Linked DNA regions of Arabidopsis thaliana. The protein of the gene in region 4 purifies or fractionates together with the protein of the main gene of each other region. This does not show direct contact. Each region holds a gene or a part of one and is shown on either strand. Other genes may lie near its edges.

Evidence for each region.
Region 1: the proteins of HBT (region 4) and AT4G28230 purify together in Arabidopsis thaliana (affinity purification with mass spectrometry, with the first as the bait; one large-scale study listed by BioGRID). This does not show direct contact.
Region 2: the proteins of HBT (region 4) and APC7 purify together in Arabidopsis thaliana (affinity purification with mass spectrometry, with the first as the bait; one large-scale study listed by BioGRID). This does not show direct contact.
Region 3: the proteins of HBT (region 4) and AT1G06590 purify together in Arabidopsis thaliana (affinity purification with mass spectrometry, with the first as the bait; one large-scale study listed by BioGRID). This does not show direct contact.

The regions. Positions count from the first base shown.
Region 1 is NC_003075.7:13,995,274-13,999,246, reverse strand, and holds AT4G28230 (uncharacterized protein), read left to right. Parts: upstream 1-1,939; 5' UTR 1,940-2,048; coding exon 2,049-3,257; 3' UTR 3,258-3,468; downstream 3,469-3,973. Other genes in the region: AT4G28240 (Wound-responsive family protein), read left to right, coding at 1,008-1,268; NDB1 (NAD(P)H dehydrogenase B1), read right to left, coding at 3,596-3,683, 3,758-3,877, 3,962-3,973.
Region 2 is NC_003071.7:16,312,150-16,319,235, forward strand, and holds APC7 (tetratricopeptide repeat (TPR)-containing protein), read right to left. Parts: upstream 5,242-7,086; 5' UTR 5,085-5,241; coding exon 5,016-5,084; intron 4,906-5,015; coding exon 4,837-4,905; intron 4,746-4,836; coding exon 4,695-4,745; intron 4,418-4,694; coding exon 4,283-4,417; intron 4,188-4,282; coding exon 4,125-4,187; intron 3,684-4,124; coding exon 3,574-3,683; intron 3,450-3,573; coding exon 3,365-3,449; intron 3,230-3,364; coding exon 3,170-3,229; intron 2,771-3,169; coding exon 2,725-2,770; intron 2,556-2,724; coding exon 2,482-2,555; intron 2,385-2,481; coding exon 2,334-2,384; intron 2,257-2,333; coding exon 2,056-2,256; intron 1,980-2,055; coding exon 1,935-1,979; intron 1,853-1,934; coding exon 1,759-1,852; intron 1,631-1,758; coding exon 1,485-1,630; intron 1,184-1,484; coding exon 954-1,183; coding exon of another isoform or gene 938-953; exon of another isoform or gene 860-937; coding exon 799-859; intron 709-798; coding exon 622-708; 3' UTR 508-621; downstream 1-507. Other genes in the region: EMB2799 (NAD(P)-binding Rossmann-fold superfamily protein), read right to left, coding at 113-326; AT2G39100 (RING/U-box superfamily protein), read left to right, coding at 5,313-5,683, 5,764-5,901, 6,009-6,063, 6,203-6,459, 6,651-6,720. UniProt on the Arabidopsis thaliana protein: Component of the anaphase promoting complex/cyclosome (APC/C), a cell cycle-regulated E3 ubiquitin-protein ligase complex that controls progression through mitosis and the G1 phase of the cell cycle.
Region 3 is NC_003070.9:2,021,710-2,026,599, forward strand, and holds the start of AT1G06590 (anaphase-promoting complex subunit), read right to left. Parts: upstream 3,041-4,890; 5' UTR 2,797-3,040; coding exon 2,626-2,796; intron 2,314-2,625; coding exon 2,154-2,313; intron 2,069-2,153; coding exon 1,947-2,068; intron 1,576-1,946; coding exon 1,341-1,575; intron 922-1,340; coding exon 744-921; intron 654-743; coding exon 569-653; intron 471-568; coding exon 385-470; intron 198-384; coding exon 68-197; intron 1-67. Other genes in the region: AT1G06620 (2-oxoglutarate (2OG) and Fe(II)-dependent oxygenase superfamily protein), read left to right, coding at 3,909-4,432, 4,725-4,890. UniProt on the Arabidopsis thaliana protein: Component of the anaphase promoting complex/cyclosome (APC/C), a cell cycle-regulated E3 ubiquitin-protein ligase complex that controls progression through mitosis and the G1 phase of the cell cycle.
Region 4 is NC_003071.7:8,631,434-8,639,094, forward strand, and holds HBT (CDC27 family protein), read right to left. Parts: upstream 5,868-7,661; 5' UTR 5,468-5,867; coding exon 5,363-5,467; intron 4,714-5,362; coding exon 4,641-4,713; intron 4,522-4,640; coding exon 4,412-4,521; intron 4,276-4,411; coding exon 4,229-4,275; intron 4,141-4,228; coding exon 4,043-4,140; intron 3,965-4,042; coding exon 3,678-3,964; intron 3,372-3,677; coding exon 3,216-3,371; intron 3,064-3,215; coding exon 2,850-3,063; intron 2,726-2,849; coding exon 2,517-2,725; intron 2,426-2,516; coding exon 2,360-2,425; intron 2,233-2,359; coding exon 2,113-2,232; intron 2,008-2,112; coding exon 1,931-2,007; intron 1,849-1,930; coding exon 1,729-1,848; intron 1,628-1,728; coding exon 1,408-1,627; coding exon of another isoform or gene 1,357-1,407; exon of another isoform or gene 1,319-1,356; coding exon 1,037-1,318; intron 942-1,036; coding exon 891-941; 3' UTR 526-890; downstream 1-525. Other genes in the region: AT2G20010 (Gls protein (DUF810)), read right to left, coding at 6,544-7,463, 7,563-7,661. UniProt on the Arabidopsis thaliana protein: Component of the anaphase promoting complex/cyclosome (APC/C), a cell cycle-regulated E3 ubiquitin-protein ligase complex that controls progression through mitosis and the G1 phase of the cell cycle.

The DNA.
Region 1 (3,973 bases), on a different chromosome or scaffold from region 4:
ATGAGCATAAATGTGATAGACATATGCTTAGATTAGTAGAAGAAGCAGACAGGGCTTATCTAGTATAAGTGGGATAAGCATAATATGTGAACGGCCCACATCCTCACAAAGCCAAGTCCAACTATCACAAGATTCACTCATTCCACTAATAAACGTTTTCAAATTAGAATGACAGAAGAATATGATAGTTAAAACTACTCATTAATATATTGGTGATAAAATAAAATAAAATAAAATAAAATTAAACTACTCACATATAATTGGTTGGATTAGTCATTAAAGATAGCACTTAGCAAATCAAAGTAAAAACAAATACTCACTACTAATAATAAATTAACCGGAAGCAAAGGGACAAGAAGTATTGATGGACAGTAATATCACGTGAAGGGGCACGTGATGACCCAATAATCGGTTAACACGTAACCAATCCCCTCGTGGGACTCTATCCTAGTCTCTAGGCACCACCCCACCCCTCACATAAAACCATCGTTCCATTTTGGTTTTAGGCCGACCTATCGGTTTTTCATTTTCGTATAAAACAAAACAAAACAAAACAAATTTACATTCAACAAAAAAAAAAAAAAAAAAAAACCAAATTACAAAAATAATTAAGAATGGGGCCCACATGAAGGGGTCGATAATTGAAGCAAGGGTGACTCATCTTGAGGATAGGACCCTCTAAGCTCGCCACTTGTTTCCTCATTACTCAGCACTTTCAATTTCCCCCGAGATATTTCACGATAACTTAACCATATCGTACCGTATCGCTTTCCTATACCTGGATCCCACTAATCCATTGTGCACGGTATCGCTTATTTTAGATCTTTTTGAATTTACCTATTTACCCTCACCCCAATATCCCTCTGGCTATAAGTACCAACCTCATCTCTTCATTTCCTTCCTACAAAAATCGAACTAATCTTCCTTTTTAACAAAAGCTTCTCAAATCTTTCAAAGGTTTCCAATTTACGAAGAAAGGATCTACAACATATAATCACTATTAAAGAATGAGTTATCTGAACAAAGTGTGGATGGCAGCATCGTTCGTAGCTGTTCAAGGAAACGCCGATCACGGCGTCAAGTTAAAAAGCGGTCTCACCTCTGCTCACCGTCTCCAACGAAGACTTTCCTCCGATCTCCGTCCTCTCGCCGCCGCAGATCTAACCGGCGACTCTCTCCCTTCGGAAGAAAGACGTCGTACCTCTTCTTCCACTCCCGATGAGTCTCTCCGACAAGTCATGTACCTCAACTGCTGGGCTCAAGGCTAAATTCAGATAATGATGGTCGTGGCTCGCTCATGAACTCCGCTGAATCAGAATTTTTTTCTGATGCAAACTGTATATAGTTTGGTTCATCTGTGGTGGTTGACTCGTGCTTATGAAATCGCTTGAGTCGGATTTTCTGGATGCAACTGTATAGTTTGGTTACATCTCTGTGAATATTAGAATGTTCTAAAAGATCAAAGCAAGCCTTGGATTATGAGAGAACTCTGTTCATTTTCTATATCTTAAAACATCGTTCGCTCACCAACTTTATTACAATCTGGAATCTTGATTGCGATTACCACTAATTTCAACTTTATCCACAGTAAAATACGATTCTAAATTAAACAATAGTACTAAAATATTCCAAAACCATCGTTATCCAAAGAGACAGACAAGTCAGTCACTCCATAATGCTTTTATTTATTTATCTATTGTGGTTGTCATTATTGAGGTAGGTCCTATAATTCATCTTACGAGCAAACTGAAATGTTATATTCGTCGGGCCAATTGTGCGAGGAACAAGAGGCCCACAACGAGATCAGCTCTTGGGCTATTTGGCCCATTTATGTAACTTGGCTTTGAATGAAATCGGAGCGTGGCTGCTTAATCCAACGGTCCAAATCTGACGACGCTCCTTAATGGAGTAATGAGTAACGTCTCCTTCATTTCCAACGGTCAAATAATCCTCAAGAAATACTCGCTTCTTCCTTCTTCCTCCTCAAGTGTCCAATTCTTTCTCCAAACCCTAAATTTCTCGTAGAAGAAGATCAAATCGCTCTGAATATGACATCAATTGAGGCAACAGAAACGCTTAACGCTCCTCCAAAGCTTCAGATCTGGAACAACGCTGCCTTCGACGATGGAGATTCTCAAATCACTTCCGCCATCGAAGCTTCTTCTTGGTCTCACCTCAACGAATCATTCGATTCCGATTGTAGCAAGGAGAATCAGTTTCCGATTTCGGTTTCCTCTTCGCTCCAATCCTCAGTCTCGATCACCGAAGCTCCGTCAGCAAAATCCAAGACCGTGAAGACCAAATCCGCCGCAGATCGGAGTAAAAAGCGAGATATCGATGCAGAGATCGAAGAAGTAGAGAAGGAGATCGGACGATTATCGACGAAATTGGAGTCGCTCCGATTAGAGAAGGCGGAGCAAACCGCAAGAAGCATTGCTATACGTGGAAGAATCGTTCCGGCGAAGTTCATGGAATCATCTCAGAAACAAGTGAAATTCGACGATTCGTGTTTTACAGGATCGAAATCAAGAGCCACTCGTAGAGGCGTTAGTCTTGGACCAGCGGAGATATTCAATTCCGCGAAGAAATCTGAAACTGTGACTCCTCTTCAATCAGCTCAGAATCGACGCAAGTCTTGTTTCTTTAAGCTTCCTGGAATCGAAGAAGGTCAAGTGACGACACGAGGTAAAGGAAGAACGAGTTTGAGTCTGAGTCCGAGATCTCGCAAAGCGAAAATGACGGCAGCTCAGAAGCAAGCAGCTACGACGGTGGGGTCAAAGAGAGCTGTGAAGAAAGAAGAAGGAGTTCTCTTAACAATCCAGCCTAAGAGGCTATTCAAAGAAGATGAAAAGAATGTTTCTTTAAGGAAACCATTGAAACCAGGAAGAGTTGTGGCTAGTAGGTACAGTCAAATGGGTAAAACGCAGACTGGAGAGAAAGATGTTAGGAAAAGGTCGTTGCCTGAGGATGAAGAGAAAGAGAATCATAAGAGGTCGGAGAAGAGAAGAGCTTCTGATGAAAGTAACAAGAGTGAAGGGAGAGTGAAGAAGAGATGGGAGATTCCAAGTGAAGTTGATCTGTATAGCAGTGGTGAGAACGGTGACGAGTCTCCTATAGTTAAGGAGCTACCTAAGATCAGAACGCTTCGTCGTGTGGGAGGGAGCCCTCGTGATTCAGGTGCTGCTAAGAGAGTTGCAGAATTACAAGCCAAGGATCGTAACTTCACTTTTTGCCAGCTTCTGAAGTTTGAAGAATGAATGATCCGCTTATCAATTTGAGTAAAATCCACAACTCTTGTTGTGGTTACTTGATTGTGAATTTGTTTGGTTTTGATTTTGTTTTTCGGCTCGCAGAGCAAGAATCTTTGTTGGAATGCTTAATGTCTTTTCTAAATACACATTAAGATTGTGAGTTTTTGTTATCTTTTGTAAATGTCAGCTTCATGAAGAAAGATTCTTTCAAAAGGTTTTTGCTTTGCCACTCACAAACAAGAAGTTTGGCCACAGCTTTGTGAAATTTACACCAAAAACAAACGAAAAAGAGAGAGACTGTATCTTGGTTTCCTCTTAAACACATTACAAAATGCAGTATTGAGTCAGATGCGGCTTGAATCCCTCCCGAATATGTACCTCCTTGTCCAGTCCGACACCACCAGAGCCCTCGTTCGCCAGCTAACTTGCTTGCTGCATCATTCATGTTTCATGTTTCAAATTCTGTGCATTTACTATAATGAATAAAAGAGTTTCTCAGCGTTTACCTGGCATAAACAGAATACCAGAGCCACTGGGCGCTTTTTCCAGCTGAAACCCAGTCTCCAGGTAGTTCAGCTGCTGCTTGGTCCCCTCCTAGTGGAGCAAATTGTCCAAAGTGCTTGTACCTGTAATCAAGCGAAGAGCTTTCATCTCTATATCTTGGAAGTTTATGAGGATGCAAGGTCCTGAGTTCATTAGATTAGGCATACTGGAAGGGGCGA
Region 2 (7,086 bases), 7.7 Mb from region 4:
GAAAGCTCTAATTACCTCACTAAGCATAAAAGATTAACATAGGATTATCTTAAAAGTCAAAGTTCACTAATCCTTAAAGCAGTCGAATTGAAGAAGTAGAGAGTGAAGATACCAATGGTGGAGGAAGAAGAGGCTTGAATAGGGGTCGCCATTAACGAAGACGTTAATGGAAGAAAAAACGAGACTTTGGGTTTATCCTCCTGACGTCTCAAAGCAAACTTAAGTGAATATGAAGAAGACGCTGAAGTCGAGTGCTTGGAAAAGTGGTGAGTCGATAGAATTCTTGAATTGATCGTCGGAAATGAGATGCAAGAGATGAAACCCATTAAGACAAAAAAGCAAAAAGCTTTGGCTTTTGACGACGAAAAAGATTGAGTTGGCGTGGGGAAAGAGATGGGATTCTCCGTGAGACTTTGGTAATGGGTTCTCTTGGTGTGTTTTAACCAATGGCGTATTTACACGTCACGACGTCCAATGTTGTAGAATATTGGTCTTTTTTTTCGTTTCTTTTCATATTCTAAGTTTGTTTATAGGAAACAAAAGGAATGACATTTGCTATTAATATTAATGTTAAGGATTCGATAGTTTTACAGTTTACACACTCTTCTGTCTCTCTACTCTTCACATGAGCTCAGCTTCTTCGGTGTCTCCATCAACATCTTCAACATCGTTCTCGTCATTCTCATCTGTTGCATCTGGGTCTATTCCCTGCAACAAACACCCCAATTTTGTGAATACACTAAACATCATCCTTGTTCGAGCTTCATAATAAAATGGTTCGATTTGATTCTTCCCAACCTTCATTTGTTTCTCCAAGCGATCTAGTCCCTTTTTGGCTGCCTCATTCTGTGGATTTATTCTGCGTTTACATTATTTACACTCTGTTATATCGTTATTGTTTCGCATAGGAGCAACAAGAACTATAAGCACTACTGGCTTAGAATTTCATAAACCTTAATGCAGCTTGAAAGTGTGATAAAGAATCTTGTAGCATATTCGTTGCAGCAAACACTTGAGCTAGCTTGACGTGGAGAGAATCATCTGCATAATCTTTGAGATATCGTTCAAGTAGTGATACAGCATCTCCATTCCTCCCTTCCATTAGATGAAGCTCAGCTAGGGCTAACACAGCTCCAAGGTACCCAGGTTCCAGCCTCAGACCTGACTCGTAAAACTTTTTTGCCTGTTATAAAACCATATCATTCTACTGTTACACCATAAATTTTTATACATAATGTAAAGATCACAAGAAGATACTCACAAGCTCTGAATAGTTTCTCAGATTTGGTATACACTATGCTTATCAAAATTGAGATTTGAACAGTTAAGTTTAAGGAACTTTCCCAGTTTCAATATTTAGTATTATATGCAACTAACTCCCTAAAGCTTTCACCGCTTCTGATTAAGATGTAAAAAATCTGGATAGAATATTGATATGATGAAAATTGACACCATAGAAGCATAACAAAGCTGAATGTTTGTACCTTTTCCCTGCCACTTGATGTAAACGCATGAACATCACCAACTAATTTCAGAGCCTTCGCGGATTGAGGCATTGCATTCATTGCTTCCCTGGCGGTATACAATGCTTCTTTGGTTTTACCAAATGCAAGATAAGAATGGACTAAGCCTGAAATGACCTCAATAGCGCAAGTTAATTACACACTCCAACCTTTTCATGATTGTTAAAGGTTTATACCACCAAAACAGTACAACAGTGGAAGTGTATATCAGATCTTTTTCCCTCGTGAACCAGACCTTGATATGAACGAAGATCGGACCTCAAATTCTGGGCAGCCCTGAAGGCGATCGCTGCAGCTTCTGGTCGTTTTGCTTGTAAAAGTAGATTTCCCTGACGTCTTAACAAATTAGTGGATATATATATATATGCAAACTTACTAAAAATAAATAAACTCCTCGTTGAACTAGCTTACCTTCATTATGTAGCCGGGTATGTGCCTCTCGTCTACCCTGATACTCTGATTGCATAGTGTATGTCATGAGCTATCACACAAAGATTTTGGCACAAAAATTCAGTGTCAGAAAAAAGCTAACCTTCTCAGCATAAGATAATGCCGTCCTTGCATCTTTCCTTTCCCATAGTACAGACAAAGCAACAAATACTTCTGCTCTGGTATGATCAACGCTTAATAAATCGTGGACGAGCTTGTTTAGCCTGGAATAATCACACTTAATCTGAAGCAGCATCGCATACTCATCCATACTGGTTAGTGTGTAAGGATCAATTGACCGAACCTATAAAAGCTTTTAGATGATTATGCATGAATTAAAGAAGTTGAGAATTGAGAAAAAAATATCCATGTGGTGACTACCTTCTCAAATCTCATTATGGCCTCATCATTTTTCCCAATAATGGCTTCAACCTATACAAATGAAATAAATGTCAATCAGCGTCAGTCATGATAAAATGAAAAATTCAGGTGAAATTCTGTTTGCATCGTAGTCGATGTCATCCCTAACCTTTGCTGTCTCAGTCAACAAGTGTACATTATTTGGAAATCGTTGTAAGAGTTCAGCAAAGAGTTCCAGCGCCCCTGAGTAACAAAAAAATATTACACCATATCCAGTAAAGCAAGCATCAGATTGCAGAATTTCCCACAAATAAAATGCAAGAAATGAAATCTACAAGGTTAAAAAAAAAGAACTAAATGCCTTATTTCATCCATTGTAGGCATAGGCATCCCAAAAAGAAAAGAGAGCTACCTTTGTAAGCATGCGAAGCAACACAACACTGGGCCTCTACATAACGCTGTGAAAACAAAGAAAAATTACCGAAAAAGACAAAGAAGAAAATAGATTTTATTGCCAGGTATGCTACAACATGAAACCAATGAAACATCCATCCAAGAAAAGTTATGTGGAGTATTAGTTTCCTGGTTAAATAGTCGAGCTTCTACTAACACAAGAACATCAAAGCACTACTTTGTTAAAGGGAATAATACTATTAAGACGATTTATTCACTTTCCACACATGAACAGCTTGAAGACAGAATTCTTAGAATCATTATATATGAAGTCGTATTCGGGGGAAAATAGTTGATAAAATAAGATTCTAACTCACGTACAATAATCAGCTTGGCGGCATGATTAATGAGTGTACTTTCAAACAATTTTCAACGTTGTAAATCCTGTTAAAGAGTAAGCTTACTTGCAACCAGCGGGTAGGATCTATCTGATCGAGTGAAACCTTTGCACTTCTATTTGAAGTCTGAAATGAACAAATGACACAACAAATTACAAAGTTGTATGGATTTCACACAGAAAAGGTAATTGCAAAATAGAGAGAAAGAGGTGCAAAACACATTTGAAGAAGTGGTGAAAGAAATCTCGTAGAAAGGGACACCTGAGTAAACGATGATATGATATCCTTTGCACTAACTCCCAGTTCAGCTAAACCTATGACGGCTTCAAGTACATAAGGACACTGCCTGCAGAGATTAAAGATTATATATATGTTTACTATGTGTTGAATTGGTATTTAACGTAAAAAGTGAGATATTATAACAGTGTTTCTATGCTAGGAAATGTTGGGAAAGAAAACGAAAAACAGACCTTAAACACTCTTTATAAAAAGCAATAGCACCACGGTTGTATCCAGAATTTCGATGAAGCTTTGCCATCAGTATATTCATCTCTAAGCTCCTGGTCTTGACAGATTCCATCTGGCAAAGAAATAACAAGTGCAAAAATAGATTATAGCTAAGCAGACCATGGCTTTATCATCCCTAATACCTACATGCAGTGTTGGAAGGAATCCAATTAGTTTACTTGTTTTGTAATATGGATTTGCATTGATGGGAGCAGGTCAACGCAACAAAATTCAACTCACATTCAGGAATACTATAACAATGCATTAGTTACGGCCCAAGAATGTTTCACTGAAATTACAGTTACTTAACTCTGGTTATAAAATACAATAGCAAGACATAAAAGTCATCCTATACAAAACCAATCTATAATCTTAGAAATAGAGAAATCCCTAGACAGCTCTTTTACCGTCTCATACACACATATTTTATTTTCTATATACCAAAGTTTCTAGACCAACAAATCCAGAAGACTAAATAAATCTTGAAAACCAGACAAACAGATGACACTCATACCTCAGCAATCGCAGCTTTTGTTTCATTAAGAGCAAAGTGAGATGAAGCAATCTTGAATCTCACCTAAAAGGAAAGTTAGAAAAAGAAGATGCACATGAACTCCAATGAAATTAAACCAAACCACATCACTTTCTGGAAACTGCAACACAGTTATTTACCTCGTTCTCATTAATAGCAGAAATGCTGGAGGCATTCACAGATGATCTGGTAGATAAAGATAATGAACTCCTCGAAATACCGGAGCTTTGCTTCGGAATCCTTGTGTAATGATGCAACGCTTGCTTGTACGTATGCTGACAAAAAGAAGGAATACATATTCAGAATTTCGAGATGACTTCAAAGTAATCCACAGGAAAAGAATAAGCAATACAAATATAAAACTTATCTCTGCTCACTCCATAAATTCATATAATCAGAATCTTTACAATTTTATCATAATCCAGTCAAATTCAAGTTCCGAGAATGATTTATAGAGTTCAAATTTGAGGCAGAACTAAACTATCGAGAACTGAGTAACATTTCCTTCACAGCAAAAGAGAAACATAAAGAATGAAACTTTTGAGAACTTACAATAGCTCTCCGGTGTTCTCTCTGATGAAATAAAGCATCACCCAGTAGAATCTGATTAAAAAACACAGAAAGAATCTAACTTCAATCTAACGGACTCAGCAGCTACTAAAATAGAAAATATCGACGGAGAAAGAAGCTTAACCAAATTCTCCGCCTTGAGCTGAGGACTAGTTTCGGCACTAACAGTAGGAGAAGAAACGAGAAAGCAGCCCTGGATTTAGTTGCATATATAGAGAGAATTTCATTAGCTCTTGATGAAAACTAGGGATTTAGAAAAAAAGAGATAGACAATCAAAATGAGCTAAAAGCTAGAGAAGTTACGAGCATTTCAGCAGAATCGTAAAGCCCATGCTCTATTAAAGTCGCGATCTGCTCCTTTGGAACCTCCATTTCAGAGACAAGAGAGTTCGTCGTTAGTGGCAATGGTGAAGTTTTTTCTTCGGAGCAGCGATGAAGTAAAAGATCCTTCACGCTCGCTCTTCATTTTGAAACAAGAAATCTCGAACCGAGTCAACCCAAACCGACATTAACCGGTTATCTATCTGAAATCCATCTCGGTTCATTAAAACCCGACTTTTCCAAGAGCCCGACTTCACCGAACAATCTCTATCTCCGGTCATGCCTCCATTACCGTCCTCCACGGCGCCTTCGTCTTCGAGACATCTTCGATCGCCGGAAAGTATCGCGAAATTTGCAGGGAGAGCAATATTTCCTGCTTTACAGGGGAAATCGTGTCCGATATGCCTCGAAAATCTAACCGAGCGAAGATCCGCCGCCGTGATCACGGTGTGCAAGCACGGATACTGCCTTGCTTGTATTCGGAAGTGGAGCAGCTTCAAGAGGAATTGTCCTCTTTGTAACACTCGTTTTGATTCCTGGTTTATCGTTAGTGATTTTGCTTCTAGAAAATACCATAAGGAGCAATTACCAATTCTTCGTGATCGTGAGACTTTAACTTATCATCGGAATAATCCTTCCGATCGCCGGAGGTTATCTCTCTCTCTAAGATCCTCTCTATGAAGTTAAAAATCACTTCTTTATTATATTCACTTGGTTATTATTTCATTAGGATAATTCAAAGGTCGAGGGATGTTTTGGAAAACTCTAGCTCAAGATCAAGGCCATTGCCATGGCGGAGATCATTTGGACGACCAGGTTCAGTTCCTGATTCTGTTATCTTCCAGCGAAAGCTTCAGTGGCGAGCTAGGTTGGTTTACTATTGATTCTAACTCTATAGCTTCATTTGCAATCTCCTTTTTCGAAGTGTTAGATTAGTTCGCCGTTGTTTCTAACTAGTGTTGGCTCTAAATACAGCATATACACTAAGCAATTACGAGCTGTTCGATTACATTCAAGGCGCTTGGAACTAGTAAGTTTCATTATACAATGTGTTCTTCTCTGTTTGATGTTTGTAGTATTGGGGTTTACACTCTTACATTATTGGATATATGTTCACATTGGAAGCCTTATATATACCTGCTTCGTTGTGTCATCTTGGATTATTGTAGAGTTTGGCGGTGAATGATTACACCAAAGCAAAGATAACTGAAAGAATTGAGCCATGGATTAGAAGAGAGCTTCAGGCAGTCCTTGGAGATCCTGATCCCTCAGTTATTGTTCATTTTGCGTCAGCTCTTTTCATCAAAAGGCTTGAGAGAGAGAATAATCGACAAACCGGGCAGACCGGGATGTTGGTGGAAGATGAAGTCTCCTCTCTTCGAAAATTCTTGTCTGATAAGGTGGATATATTTTGGCATGAACTAAGGTAAGATTTTTATACGCTAGGGTTTTTTCAGAGTTTCAAGTAGTTACAGGTTTAGTATAGTAGTACAGAAAACACATAGGCAACCTAAACCTAGTGACTTGTAAGTCTGAACAGATGATAGAGCTGATATCTGTTTGGTTTAGGTTTTTTGGTCATATACTATTTCTGATGAGAAAGAAAACATTTTTCAGATGTTTTGCGGAGAGTATACTCACGATGGAGACTTATGATGCAGTGGTTGAATACAATGAGGTGGAGTAATAGCAGTAAAAAAAACAGGTAAAGAAATTAGGATATGTATTATGTGGGTTTGGTTTCACTAAGTAGGAACCTGTTTTGCTTCGATGGTTTTTTTTCTGAAGTCATTATGTTGTATTCGCTTGCAGATAACCGAGCACTATGCTCTCGTCAAATGAAGTAAATAGACAGACTTACAACGCGACTGTTGGTGTCTTGGAAGTTCAATAGTGGAAAGACTGGACCAAGTAAGAGAAACCAAGAGTTAAAGAGTAGGTAGGAGGAAGATGTTGAGATGATGCAAGTTTAGGTGTGGAGTTAGTTTTGAGATAGCTATAGGTGGATTCTCAAATAGCTGACACTTAGTCTCTCTACTTCCATAATGTACGT
Region 3 (4,890 bases), on a different chromosome or scaffold from region 4:
AGAGACGATTCTAAACGTCAAGAACAAGTTTTTAGCTATAGAAGCTCTCGGGAGAATGAATTCTCACCTCTAGAGCCAGATTAGGATGCCCAAATCGGAAATGCATCATTCCCAGACATAGCAAACCAATCTCGTACCTTCCATACATGCTGCAGCCAGTTGAAGGAGGAACAAGGTCAAATCCCTCAGTCCCTGCACTTTAAGGCAATGGATCATGGATCAGCTCATGTTTGAAACAACGTTCCTAGTGCCAAATATCTAACAGGCAAACACAACTGGATATTTACAGGAGTCACATGCAAACAATAAACGATTTCGGCAGTAATATTATTCTTAACATAAATTTTTAGGAAACAGAGAAAATTAGCAAAAAGTACAGATTACCTGTAATCAAAGTAACGGAGGAGATTATCCAAAGCAGCAAAGTAGTCATCACTGTGAAGTTTATTCAAGTAACGCAAAAAGTGAACCTGCATTGTTGCATGTCGTGATGTAAGAATCAAAGCACTGAAAGAATGATTAACTTCTGATTTAACTGAAAATAAAATACAAAATTGCAAGACATTACACGATGCAGTTCAGGGGCTAATTTCTGAAGCTGATCAAGGAAACTTTCGATGGAACTTGAAGAGAATGAACTTGAACTTCCATGGCTGACATCAAATTACAAGGGGATGGAAAGTTTAAAAACTAGCAATACTTATGACAGAAATATATAAATACTAAGGAAAAAGAGACTTTACATTTCAATTGCATCGGCCTGTTCCATTAAAAAGCCTTGTATCTGCAAATTTGTCCGAAGGAATAATGACTCATCTACCAGAGATTCCTCAAGTGTACTTGTTGAGGCACGAGCAACTGGAGTAGCTTCTGTATCTTTCTTGCTGGTCCTTGATGTTTCCTTCCTATTATGTAGCAAACCTGCAATGTTTCATGTGTTCTGTGCATTATTATAACATTGAGATCCTTACAAGACAAGTGAGTGTCAAAGCATAAGAATGAAACAAAAATATAAAAAACCGACAAAATTAATTTCTTAGTAGATCGTTTCTACATTACAAAAGGGAAAAAGGGAAATATCTTCAGAAGCCCAACTGTTAAAAAAGAAAAGTCTGAAAAAGCTTCATACAAACACATCGAAAGACTTTGATAAAACGTTGATCCTATGACTGATGCTAATCATCAGCAAAAATACATTACCAAACATATATGAGAAAAGTGGCAGCTAAATTGCAGCCTGATCATGAATATAAAACTCTATTTCCTCATAGTTTTCTAGCACCTGAGACTCTGAAAAACTCTAGGTTTTCTCTGAATTGGGTGAATACCATAAGGGATACCTTCTGTCGCTTTCATAAGTGAATCTGGTGTATGAAGGTGAAAAGGGACAATTCCACTAGCAGTTTTCTGAAACTCTATTTCTTCAGTTGGTTTATCCATTGCATAATTCTCCATATCCATCTGATCATATTGTATTAATGACTCCAGATTATTATTAGGTGCACCAAACTGAGCAAAGCTTGAATGGGCTTCTTTGCAGTAATCTTCAATACTTGAAAAAAGATGACAAACTCCCTGCACATATCAATGAAATGGACGGTTCTTTCAAACATTCACTTATGTGTTTCTGCAGCAATCAAGAACACTACAGCTAGATATTACACTTCAACCAGACCAGCCAGAGTTCTGCCATTAGATATCATATTTTAATGTACCTATACATGCGTCTACATTTAAGTCTAGCCTAGACAAGTACTCCATTGTAGTGGGTCAAGAAACAAACAAACTTCACATAGATGTTTAGACACAATTAAGTGGCTGACGAAAAAGCTAACAAATCCGCGTCCTTCAAGCAAAACCTCAAACTACACGTCATGTTGAATAATATTAATATTATTCAGTCTCAAAATAAAACAAGAATAACACAAACGTAAAAAGCTCAATACCTCGAACGATAAAAGGTTGAATGCCAAAATGCAACGACGAACAAACATTCCCAAGTTGCTGTTGGGATCCAAAATAATCTGATCATCTTGCACGACTCCTGAATCAAGGCTCCCAAGTATTCCTACATACAAAGAAATGATAACTAATTTGAGTCAAACATGATGGAAAAGAAGAAAAAACAGACCTTAAGCAAGCAAGTAGCTAACCTCGCATGTCATTAAAGAAATTTAATAGATCATCTGGTGAAGCCAAAGAGGAAAATCTATTAGTTAAATGGTCAGTTAGCCACGCGTCCATCTCTTCACCAACTTCCCTCAACTGGTTGATGAGCTTTTCCAGCTTCGGCTCAAATATATCATCGCAAGACTGCAGCATGAATATCAATCTCGTCAGGGAAAAGAACAGTTTGTTAGCACACGAAACCAGCAAATTCATTATTCACTCATGAAATCAACATAAGTTACAAGAGTTTTGAGCCGTGAAATCGTTACAACAGACATCGCTGAAATCAATCTCAGAAATTAGCAAAGAAGCTCTAAGAAATGCAATAAAGAAACTCGATACAACTTCGGGTATGAGAGACGGGCCAGGAAACTCAGAAGAATCAAAAGACATTGCTGAATTAAACCTCAAAAAACTACAAGATATTGCAATTCGAGAGAAATCGAAGAGTGAAACCTTAGTAAGAGAGAGCAAGTAGAGGCCGAGGCGGTTGTGCTGAGCAACGGAAGAGAAAGGAAAAGGAAGAGACATCTGAGCGGAAGGAGCGTATATCTGCAGGAGAATGCAAACGGAGATCTTGTGTGGAGTTACCGCAAAAGCACCGGCCGTTCTCGTTAATCCGGCCATATCTCTCTGTCGCTAAAACACTCACTCTCTCACTTTGGGATTCACACTGTCTCTCACTTTGGGACTCACGCTGTTGCTCAATCCCTGCCGGGTTATTTTCCCCCGACGAGCAGCCGGGATTAGGGCACCTTAGAGGAATTAATTTGAAATTTTGACTAAAGAGTCACCGGGAAAGTGAGCACTTTGAAAAGAGAAACAAAGGAAAAATAAAAACCGGTTATTTCAGGCCGGTAGTTGACCGCCGTCGGGTTAAGCCTTAAGAGTATATAACCCAGAGGCCAAGGCCCAAAGTTTTCCTTTTAACTTTTAAGTTTGATTTGATGTGTAAGGCCCAAAGGTGAAATAAAAGAAGCTAAATAAACTAATAATCAAACGAATAAAACTTCCTTTTTAATTTCGTTTTTTTTTGGGGCAACAAAACTTTCTTAAATTTACAAAACTACAACGGAATTTACAAATTACAAAGACATTAAAAAGTTCGTATATACTCTTTTATTAGTTTCGACTAAATATCGTATTAGAACAGAATCTATATTTTATCTTTTTATCAGAGATTTCAATTTATTTATTTTTGACAAAGGATTACCTCATGTAGTTGTTGCCAACTTGCCATTAACCATGATAGTGACGCAGGCTTCCAAAACATTTCGACGCGAGAGCCACTATCCGAATACTTGAATAATATTATTGTTGCGATTTTTTAAAAAGGTCTTGCTGATGGCCAAAAATAAAATAATAACAAAAATTATTGTATATACAATATATAAACGTGACAAAATGAGCTGTTGAATATGATACTAGTATAGTTCGTATATTAATTTATTTTGACCAATTGTACATTTTCGTCATCGGGGATGTAGCTCAGATGGTAGAGCGCTCGCTTAGCATGCGAGAGGTACGGGGATCGATACCCCGCATCTCCATTTTCCTATTTTTTGTTATCATTATTTTTTCTTGTCCCGGTTTTTCCCCACGTGGGAAACGTGAATAATTTAACTAAGACATGTACTTCTTCTCATCTATCTTCGTCGTTGACTCGTGAAACTTTTGACAACTTGTAGTATTAAGATCCAACTTCAAACCAACGGCAATTGCATTTTCAGCTAAAAGCAATGGAGTCATCACTTCCCCAAGTTGCTGCACTTGATCGTTCAACTCTACTCAAAGCTTTCGACGAGACTAAAACCGGCGTGAAAGGCCTTATCGACGCCGGAATCACAGAGATTCCTTCGATATTTCGTGCACCTCCGGCTACTTTAACAAGTCCAAAACCACCTTCCTCCTCTGATTTCTCCATCCCCACAATCGATCTCAAAGGAGGTGGCACGGACTCGATCACGCGGCGGAGCTTGGTGGAGAAGATCGGAGACGCGGCAGAGAAATGGGGATTTTTCCAGGTGATCAACCACGGGATCCCGATGGATGTGTTGGAGAAGATGATAGATGGGATTCGTGAGTTTCACGAGCAAGACACTGAAGTGAAGAAAGGGTTTTACTCTCGAGATCCAGCTAGTAAGATGGTATACAGCAGCAACTTCGATCTGTTTAGCTCACCGGCGGCGAATTGGAGAGATACACTTGGTTGTTATACAGCACCAGATCCCCCGAGACCGGAGGACTTACCCGCCACTTGTGGGTAAGATTTCCAAATTTGTTAAATTACGAGTTTGACTATTTTTGCTTTTGTAACATGTTGTGTTCCTCGGTCCGAAGAAATTATATATGGTCGAATAGTGTTTCACTACTCGTTAGACGAATATTAATCCAATAATACGTTTTCTTTTTTAACAAATTTTTATAACAATTGAAATACATAAATCCAATAATAACTTATTCAAATAGTTATAAGCGCTAGGATTTCGTTGAAGATTTTTACGCCCCCATTATTCATTAGTGTGTCTTAAAGATTTTGGTGGACATTTTTTCAGGGAGATGATGATTGAGTACTCAAAGGAAGTGATGAAATTGGGTAAATTACTCTTCGAGCTTCTCTCGGAAGCTCTAGGGTTAAACACTAATCACCTCAAGGACATGGATTGCACTAACTCCTTGCTGTTGCTCGGCCATTATTACCCGCCATGTCCCCAACCCGAC
Region 4 (7,661 bases):
ATATAAACTGAGGCAAATAACCACAAAAGTCAGAATCAGTGACGTTCGTTAATCCCACCGAAAGTCGAGTTATGATTGTTCGGAAGAAAAAAAAATCATATAATTATAGAATTATACGTATCAAAAGTCTCGCAAGTTACGTTTTTCTTCTTCTTCATTTTTGAGTGCAAATCTCGTAAATTACGTAAAATTTCTATAATCATCATGAGATTATAATTCACGTGAATTATATATTCAACATCCGTGATTTGTTCTCAGCTTCATTTTGGGAGAATAATTGTTGACTTTTTTTTTTTTTTTTTAAATTGTTAAATTTTTACTTTTATGGTAAAAATATTCGCTGATTACTTTACTATACTGTGTCTGTGTGTCCCTGCTTCATTTAATAAAAACAAAATATATTACTTAGGGAATTCTTCAATTTGAAAACAAAGATGAATCATAAAAAGACTTTTTTGTGTACAAGTTAATTTAAACCATGTACAGTATGTGGTCGAAGCCGTATCTTTTGATTATATCTCAGTCGATCAATATTGTTAGATATTTCTTGGAAAATAAAGATATAAGTTTGAATCAAGGTTTAAAAACTAACGAAATAAATTATCTTTTGATGAACAAGGTTTAAGTGGTAAAATGTATATGTAGATGTGGAAAAATCATATATTGCGATTAGGTAGTGTTACGGACAACATACAGATCAACTCATGATACATACTCAAGTCATGTGGGCTCTTGTGGCTGTGTTACGGTTTGGTAACAAAACTACATTCAAACCCAACTAGTTCCCTAAAAGAGGTAGGCTTTGCACTAAATAATTCATACCCATGGTTCGTGGAGCAGCAACGGTCTCACATTAATTCATACCCAAGGTTCTTGGAGTAGCTATGGTTTCACGGGCTCTCATCGATCTCATCTGGAACATGCAATTTCTCCATTGCAGCCTGTTTCAGACAATAATAACCAGTTTAAGCTATGAATCCTTGAATTTTCAGATTTAAAAACCATCATTGGACGACTCTGTTTTAAAGACTCGAACCTTTATTGCAGCAACGTCAGTTGCAGGCGGTTTCATATCTAAAGCTAGACCGAAATGAAGCATGGCTTTATCGTGCATGTTTCGCCGCTTATAGATCCTGCCCATTAAAGCGTAAACGCTGCTCTCTGAAGGCGCATACTCTTTGAGCTCCTCAAGAACTTCTAGAGCTTCATCTAATCTTTCTAAGCAGACAAGTATGTTAGCTTTCTGGTACATTGGAAGAGGGTTTTTTCTATCTGCTACTATGGCTTGCTCCATTATCTCTAGTGCTTCCTCACTTCTCTATTAACACAAAACAAGAAGAAGCATTTAGTCATTCTTCAAAGATTGTTTTTCTTGTAGACCTGATAAGATGAAAGTAATAAGATAACCTTCAAGGCATGCAAAGATGTCCCTAAATAAGACATTATAACAGAGGAACTCGGGTTTATTAGGAAAGCCATTCTGAAGTGATGCTCTGAGAACTCTAACTTCTCTTGGCGTAGATATATCATTCCAAGCCCGTACCATGCGTTGTAGTGTCTTGTATCTACACGAAGTGCGTTTTGGTAACTTTTCATTCCGTTCTCAAAATCCTCAAGAGTTGTGTATCTACAGAGACAGTAAAGATAGAAAGTGTCAATTAGACCAATAACCAGATAATTTTAAGCACATTGTGCAAGACAAAGTCAAATGGATAGAGGCTCTCTTACTCGTGGCCACATAAGGTATGTGCATATGCAAATCTTGGATTCAGTTGAACAGCTCGTAGGAAATTCTTCAGTGCGGTCTCATGGTCCTTTTGCAAGCTATAGCAATTTCCCATAGCACACCTACATAATTGATTGCTTATTTCTCTTATTACCAACAATAAATGAAAACGTTAATCAGAAAAACAACTTCGACAAAAAATACCAAGATTGAGGAGCTAAGCGATCGGTTGATATTAGTTCCTGAGCCAAGTAACTCAGCTTCATGTCTTCCTTCAAATGCTGCAAATAAATATCATATCTTGCTGATGAAAAATTTACATAAATGTGATTTCTTTCCGCACTCATCCGAGATTGCATGTTTAGAAACCAGGATAATACACTTACATAGAGGACCGTAGAGTATATATCCATTCCTTCTAAGCAATAAGGAGAAGCCAGACGGGCAAGACGGAATGCCTTTTCAGCCTCTAAATAGTCAATTAGTTCAAAGTATGCTTTCCCGACCTACATTTAATAGCCATAGTATGTGTATATAAACCTTTCAACAATAACTATCACAGGCCACTAGAGTAAAACTGATTCAGGCTATATCCATATATGGCAGCCTAAAAGAGAAAGAGTCACTAGTTACCTGGGAAAGAACCCATCCTGTATTATAATGCTTATGTGGAAGTTTCATATACGTATCCAGTGCCTCCTGAACGACCCAGAAGCAGAAGGAGACAATGAGATAAGCCTATATAGGTTCACCTCACTTGCATAATTCACGAGAACAATAATATGCCTACCTGACACCTGTACATGTATGAAAGTCTACACCCTTCTCCGAGTGTCCTAAGGAGGTTTAAAATTTCCGAAACACCAATTGTGATTGTTTGAGAACTCATTGCTATGCCACCAATCGACATTGTTTCGTCTTCTTGATCATTGGAAGCCATAGAACCAGTCGTTGAGGCAGTATTAGGCCTTGAATCATCAAAAGGTTCCCCACGGACCCCTAAACCCATCAGAATGACGGTATTACAAATATGCAGACACCAAAAATAGAAGGCATGATAACAATAGTCACACAAGGGCAGATTTCAAACAATATAGTGGTATAGTGCATGGAATGTCACAACCTTCATCCATGTTTTCATTTGCCCAGGAGTGTCCCTTCCGAAGTGTTACAGAACGAAGTGCCAAAGAACTCAATTTAGAACCTCCCAAATACTTGGAAGCGTTGTTCACATTTCCGCTTACTGTTGCAACACTTGAATTAATGTTTGCCCCTGAATCAGCAGACAGTCTTGAACTCCGTCGTGGACCAGAATCAGAAAATAGTCTGCCAGAAATCTGCAAACATAAGAGACATGCACTCACGGTAAGAAAGTTGGTATAGAAAATTTCATCCCGAGTACGAAATAGACTATTACAGAGAAAGACCAATAATTCAAAATTATGATTTGATGATGTCAAGTAGAGATATGTGATTATGTGAATCCTACCTTACGTAACTTTCCTTCATCTACAAACTTTCTTCTAGGTGCTTGAAGAGTAGAGTTAACAGTGGACTTTGGAGAACTGTCAGTAATAAGGGAGTTTGGGTTTGCAACAGCTGGCTGAAAATTCCGGAAAAGTGGTGGTGGAGCTATACCGGATAGCTACAATTTCAAAAATACAAAAAAGCATTTACTTACAGCTGTTATTATTCAGATAACTAAAAAGGTTGATAAAATTAACAAGCCAAACCAAAGACACTAAAACATAATGAAGACCCCATTTTTAATAGTCAAAAGAATAGACAACCCATTCTTTTGGCATAACAGATATAGAAAAAACAGATACAAACGCTGTGAAATCAACACCCATGATGCACAAATCTCCTAAGTACTACAGAATGTGTGATCAACAGATGGAGATATAGTTGTATTACATAAAAAAGCAGTACGACAATTGTGTGACATTACCTGTGCAGCCACTGGCGAAGGCGTATTATAGAATGACATGTTCGAAACACCTCCATTAACTCCATGAGAATGGAAATTTCCGGAGATATCTTTAAGGCCATGGCTTTGTGTGTGTTTAGACTGCCTTGGACTATAATCTTCAGAACTCGTGTTTTTAGTAGAAGTTGAATTACGTTCCTCGTTGTAAGTGTTTAAGCCGAGGGAAGTTGACAGTTGTTGCATATACTGCTTTTGAATGGAGAGAGCAGCTGTTTCACCAAAAACTGCAGTTGCTTCCTCAGCAGCACCTGAAAGTTGAGCAGACAGAAAAGTGTAAGAGAACCATAACATATCTGTGAAGTATGCAGAAAACGGATTATGTTCACCTAATATACATAATTCCTCATATGCAGCCCAAAGTAGAGGGTCTATTGTCAAGGACTGTTTAAATTGTTGAGCAGCATTCTTCCTTCTATCAGTATACCTAAAAGGTCACTGTTATATATGAGGAATCATCTCATCTAAGCCATTCAGAATCAAGAAAAAATGCATAGACAGAACAAAAAACGTACTTGTAAATAAGTCCAAGAAGGTAATGGCCTGCTGCACCATTTGGGATCTGCACAATAATCAGAAGCATGTTGTTATCTTCACTGAACTAAATCAATAAATAAGGTCCAGAAACTGACACACTGTTTTTGTAAAATGACATTCAGTAAGCGAATAAAGGCAAAATACCAGAGAACATTAAATACCTCCGCACCAGGTTCATTAACAGGGCAGAGTGCAGATTCAGCTTCATTGAGAAGGTCCATCTGGAAGCATGATAATGCGAACAAGTATCGGGACTGAGCCATTTGTGTTCCTTTACATAACAAAAAAAAAATATATATACAAAGATAATCAAAACGACCTAACAAAAGAAGGTGCAAAATTCTGACTAAAAGGCTAACAAGCAACAAGTCAAGAAACAATGCCACGCACCCTTTAGCAGATGATATGCACTGTAAGCTTGATTATTCTGCAGGTAGCTGGTGGCTAATAGCTGCAAATTAACCTATATAAGAGGAAAATTCAGAAAGTGATCAAACAAAAAGGCCAATCATTTATTGACATGATTTCTACTAACTGAAGCTAGAAACTGGACAACCACTACGAATGTTGAAAATATTCCAGACCAAAGGCTGAATGAATGAATACTTTCTCAACTACTATTGAAGCTGTATTAACCCAAATTTTAACAAAGCTTGAGATAATCCCAGAGACATTCCTCTAACAGTTGACTCATAGCTAAGTTCCAAGGATAATAAATACTTAAACTTGAGATCACATATATGGACAAAAGTCATTAACCCTCAAAATGCAAATTTTCCAAAGACCAAATCAGTAATGAGCATTGAGCACAGCTACTAGAGAAAACAAATTCAACAAGAGAGAGAAAAGAACACGAATTCATCTCCTAATTGAACACACGGATCTTGAAAACAAAGGGCTAAAAGGTAAGAAACCAAAATCAATCTCGAAGAACACAGTGAAGCTATCGAATTCCAAATCCAAAAAGAGACGCACTTTCGACGAATTCATAGATACCCAGAGGAATTACAAACCCAAAAATATCAAATTTACCATTCCAAGAGCTTCGATTTACAGAATTTGAATTAGAGAGGTAAAATCAGAGAGAGAGAGTGAAAGAAGAGGGTGATTACCTCAGAAGGAAACTCAGCGCAGAGACGCTCGCACATGAAAATAGCATTTTTGTAGACAAAATGACGAAGACTGTTGTTTACACAGTCCACAAGCATAGCTTCCATAGTTGTTGCCTTTCTTCCTCGAGAGAGAGAGAAGAGAGAGAAAAGAGGGTTTTCTGTTTTTTCTGCAACTTTTTATTTTTTTCTTACCATTTGGGATTTTTTTGAAGTCGTCGTGATTTCAAATTTTGATGCGGCACGTGCGATGCTCTGTTTTCAGTCTATTCCGCACGTGACAGACCCATTAGCCTTAAGTGTTAAAATTTGTATGGGCTGAGTCCGTGTGTTTTCATTTTTGGGCTTAGTTAGCTTATTGGGCTTTATAATTGACCATTTGAATATTAGTATAGATGAAGACAACGATGATGGTGTGATTACAACCGTTGGAAACAGGAAAACAGAGCCGATTCATCGTCATTCATAAAGCAAACACCTCTTCAAGATCATCTCGCGGTCGCGGATACTCCATGTCGTCCACCACATGTAACATTGCCATGAAATCGCTGACGATGTGAGTCATGTGACGTATGGAGAAGAACTCGAGGAAATCAAAGAAGTCGAAGAAGGGTATCATAATAATGAATCGAACTATCGAAGATATTGCGCTACTTGAACAAGTGTTTTTGTTTGGTTGAATAAGCAACAAACTATTATTTTAGCAAAATACTAGAACGTGTCTGCAGGAAAAGTTTCATATCTACGATAATCATTTTCTGATACTCATTTCAAACGTTGTTAAACGGATCATGAATCATGACTTCAAGTTAGAATACTTCAAGTTTCAACCATATCATCATATATCTGATGTTATCCATCACATAAACATTATGAGTTTTTAAAGGACCATTTCATGAACCATCGTTGCAATCTTGAATTATCAATCAGAAATCTGATAAATTTGAAAAAGAAAGATGAAAAACAAAGGTATTAAATATACAAATTTATAACAGTTGACAACATATAACAAAGCCCACAAGCTTTTGATTAGTACAAAAGAAGAATATTTCACTAAAACGTTTCTACTTTCTTGTACAAGTAATTTAATTTGCCAAATACCAATCGCTAGCCGCTTTAACCAAAATATATTCCACACTTCAAACTAAACCGGGTTTTGTACCAATGTAGTAAGTAGGTCACTCTCAGGTTAGCTTCCTCGGCAAGTTATAGGTCTTTTTCAGAAACTTAGTCGCAGGTTCATCGTAACGGTAACACAATACTCTTAAAAGTGTGTTTGGTTCTGTCGGACTCCACGGACCAGAAGTCGGCGGTAACGGAAGCTTCCCTCTGTCAGAACCATGATTCTCCAGACACACTGCTTTAAACCGTTCAATCAAAGAATCTGTATCCGTGCGCAGCAGCGGAAGTATACTCTTGACAGTCGTCGAAACCTTCTCGATCAAATCCAAAGGCAATCCGTCTCCGTTTGACCAGAAAAGATCGCATAGAAACTTGAAATCCTCTTCTACGGCAGCAGAGTCTTGAATTGTGAAGCCACGCGATGGTCCACCTGCAAGGAGGACCAATAAGAACCCGTCGAAAGAAGCTCTCATGATGTCCGAAATGACTCTGGTTCGGACTCTGTCATGAACCGATGAGGAGATAATCTCAAGGCACCGTTCGAGCTCTTGAAGAAACGGCTCAATCCTTGAGGAAGGAACTTCCCCGAGGTACAGACCATCCCAGAGAACATTGCTCAGATCGTGGAAGACGATCTTGTAAGCAGTTGCTTCAGACAATTGCTGTATTCCTTTCGAGCAATAACTAATCGACTGTTCAAATATTTTACCTTTAGCATCCAAAGCTGCAACTTCGGATTCCGGGAGACGATTCAATGTTTTTCTCCCAGATGATTCGATCTCTGTCCTGATATACTGCAGAGTGTTGATCCTGCAACAGAACTGAAGTATTTCCGCCGAGTCATTACCCGTCCCCAGCTGTGATTTTCTCCTGTGAGAAGCTACCATTGGCTTCTCCTTTTTCTTGAATACACCATGTAGTCTGGACCCGACCGTGCATCTTGTTAAAGCAGGCAAAACGGGTAGAAACGTATTCCGCGAGCCTAATAGAAACCATATAAAAACAAAACCAGAAACTCCATAAGTGAAATGAACAAAGCGTGAGCTTTTTTATTCCAAAAACTAAACAATCAACTGCTTACCGCAGGATGATTTCGCCTTTGATACATAATGCTGCATACACTTGTCTAGTCCTGACGTTAGCTCAGGAAGTAAAACTGGATGCAAAAGAATCGGCAACA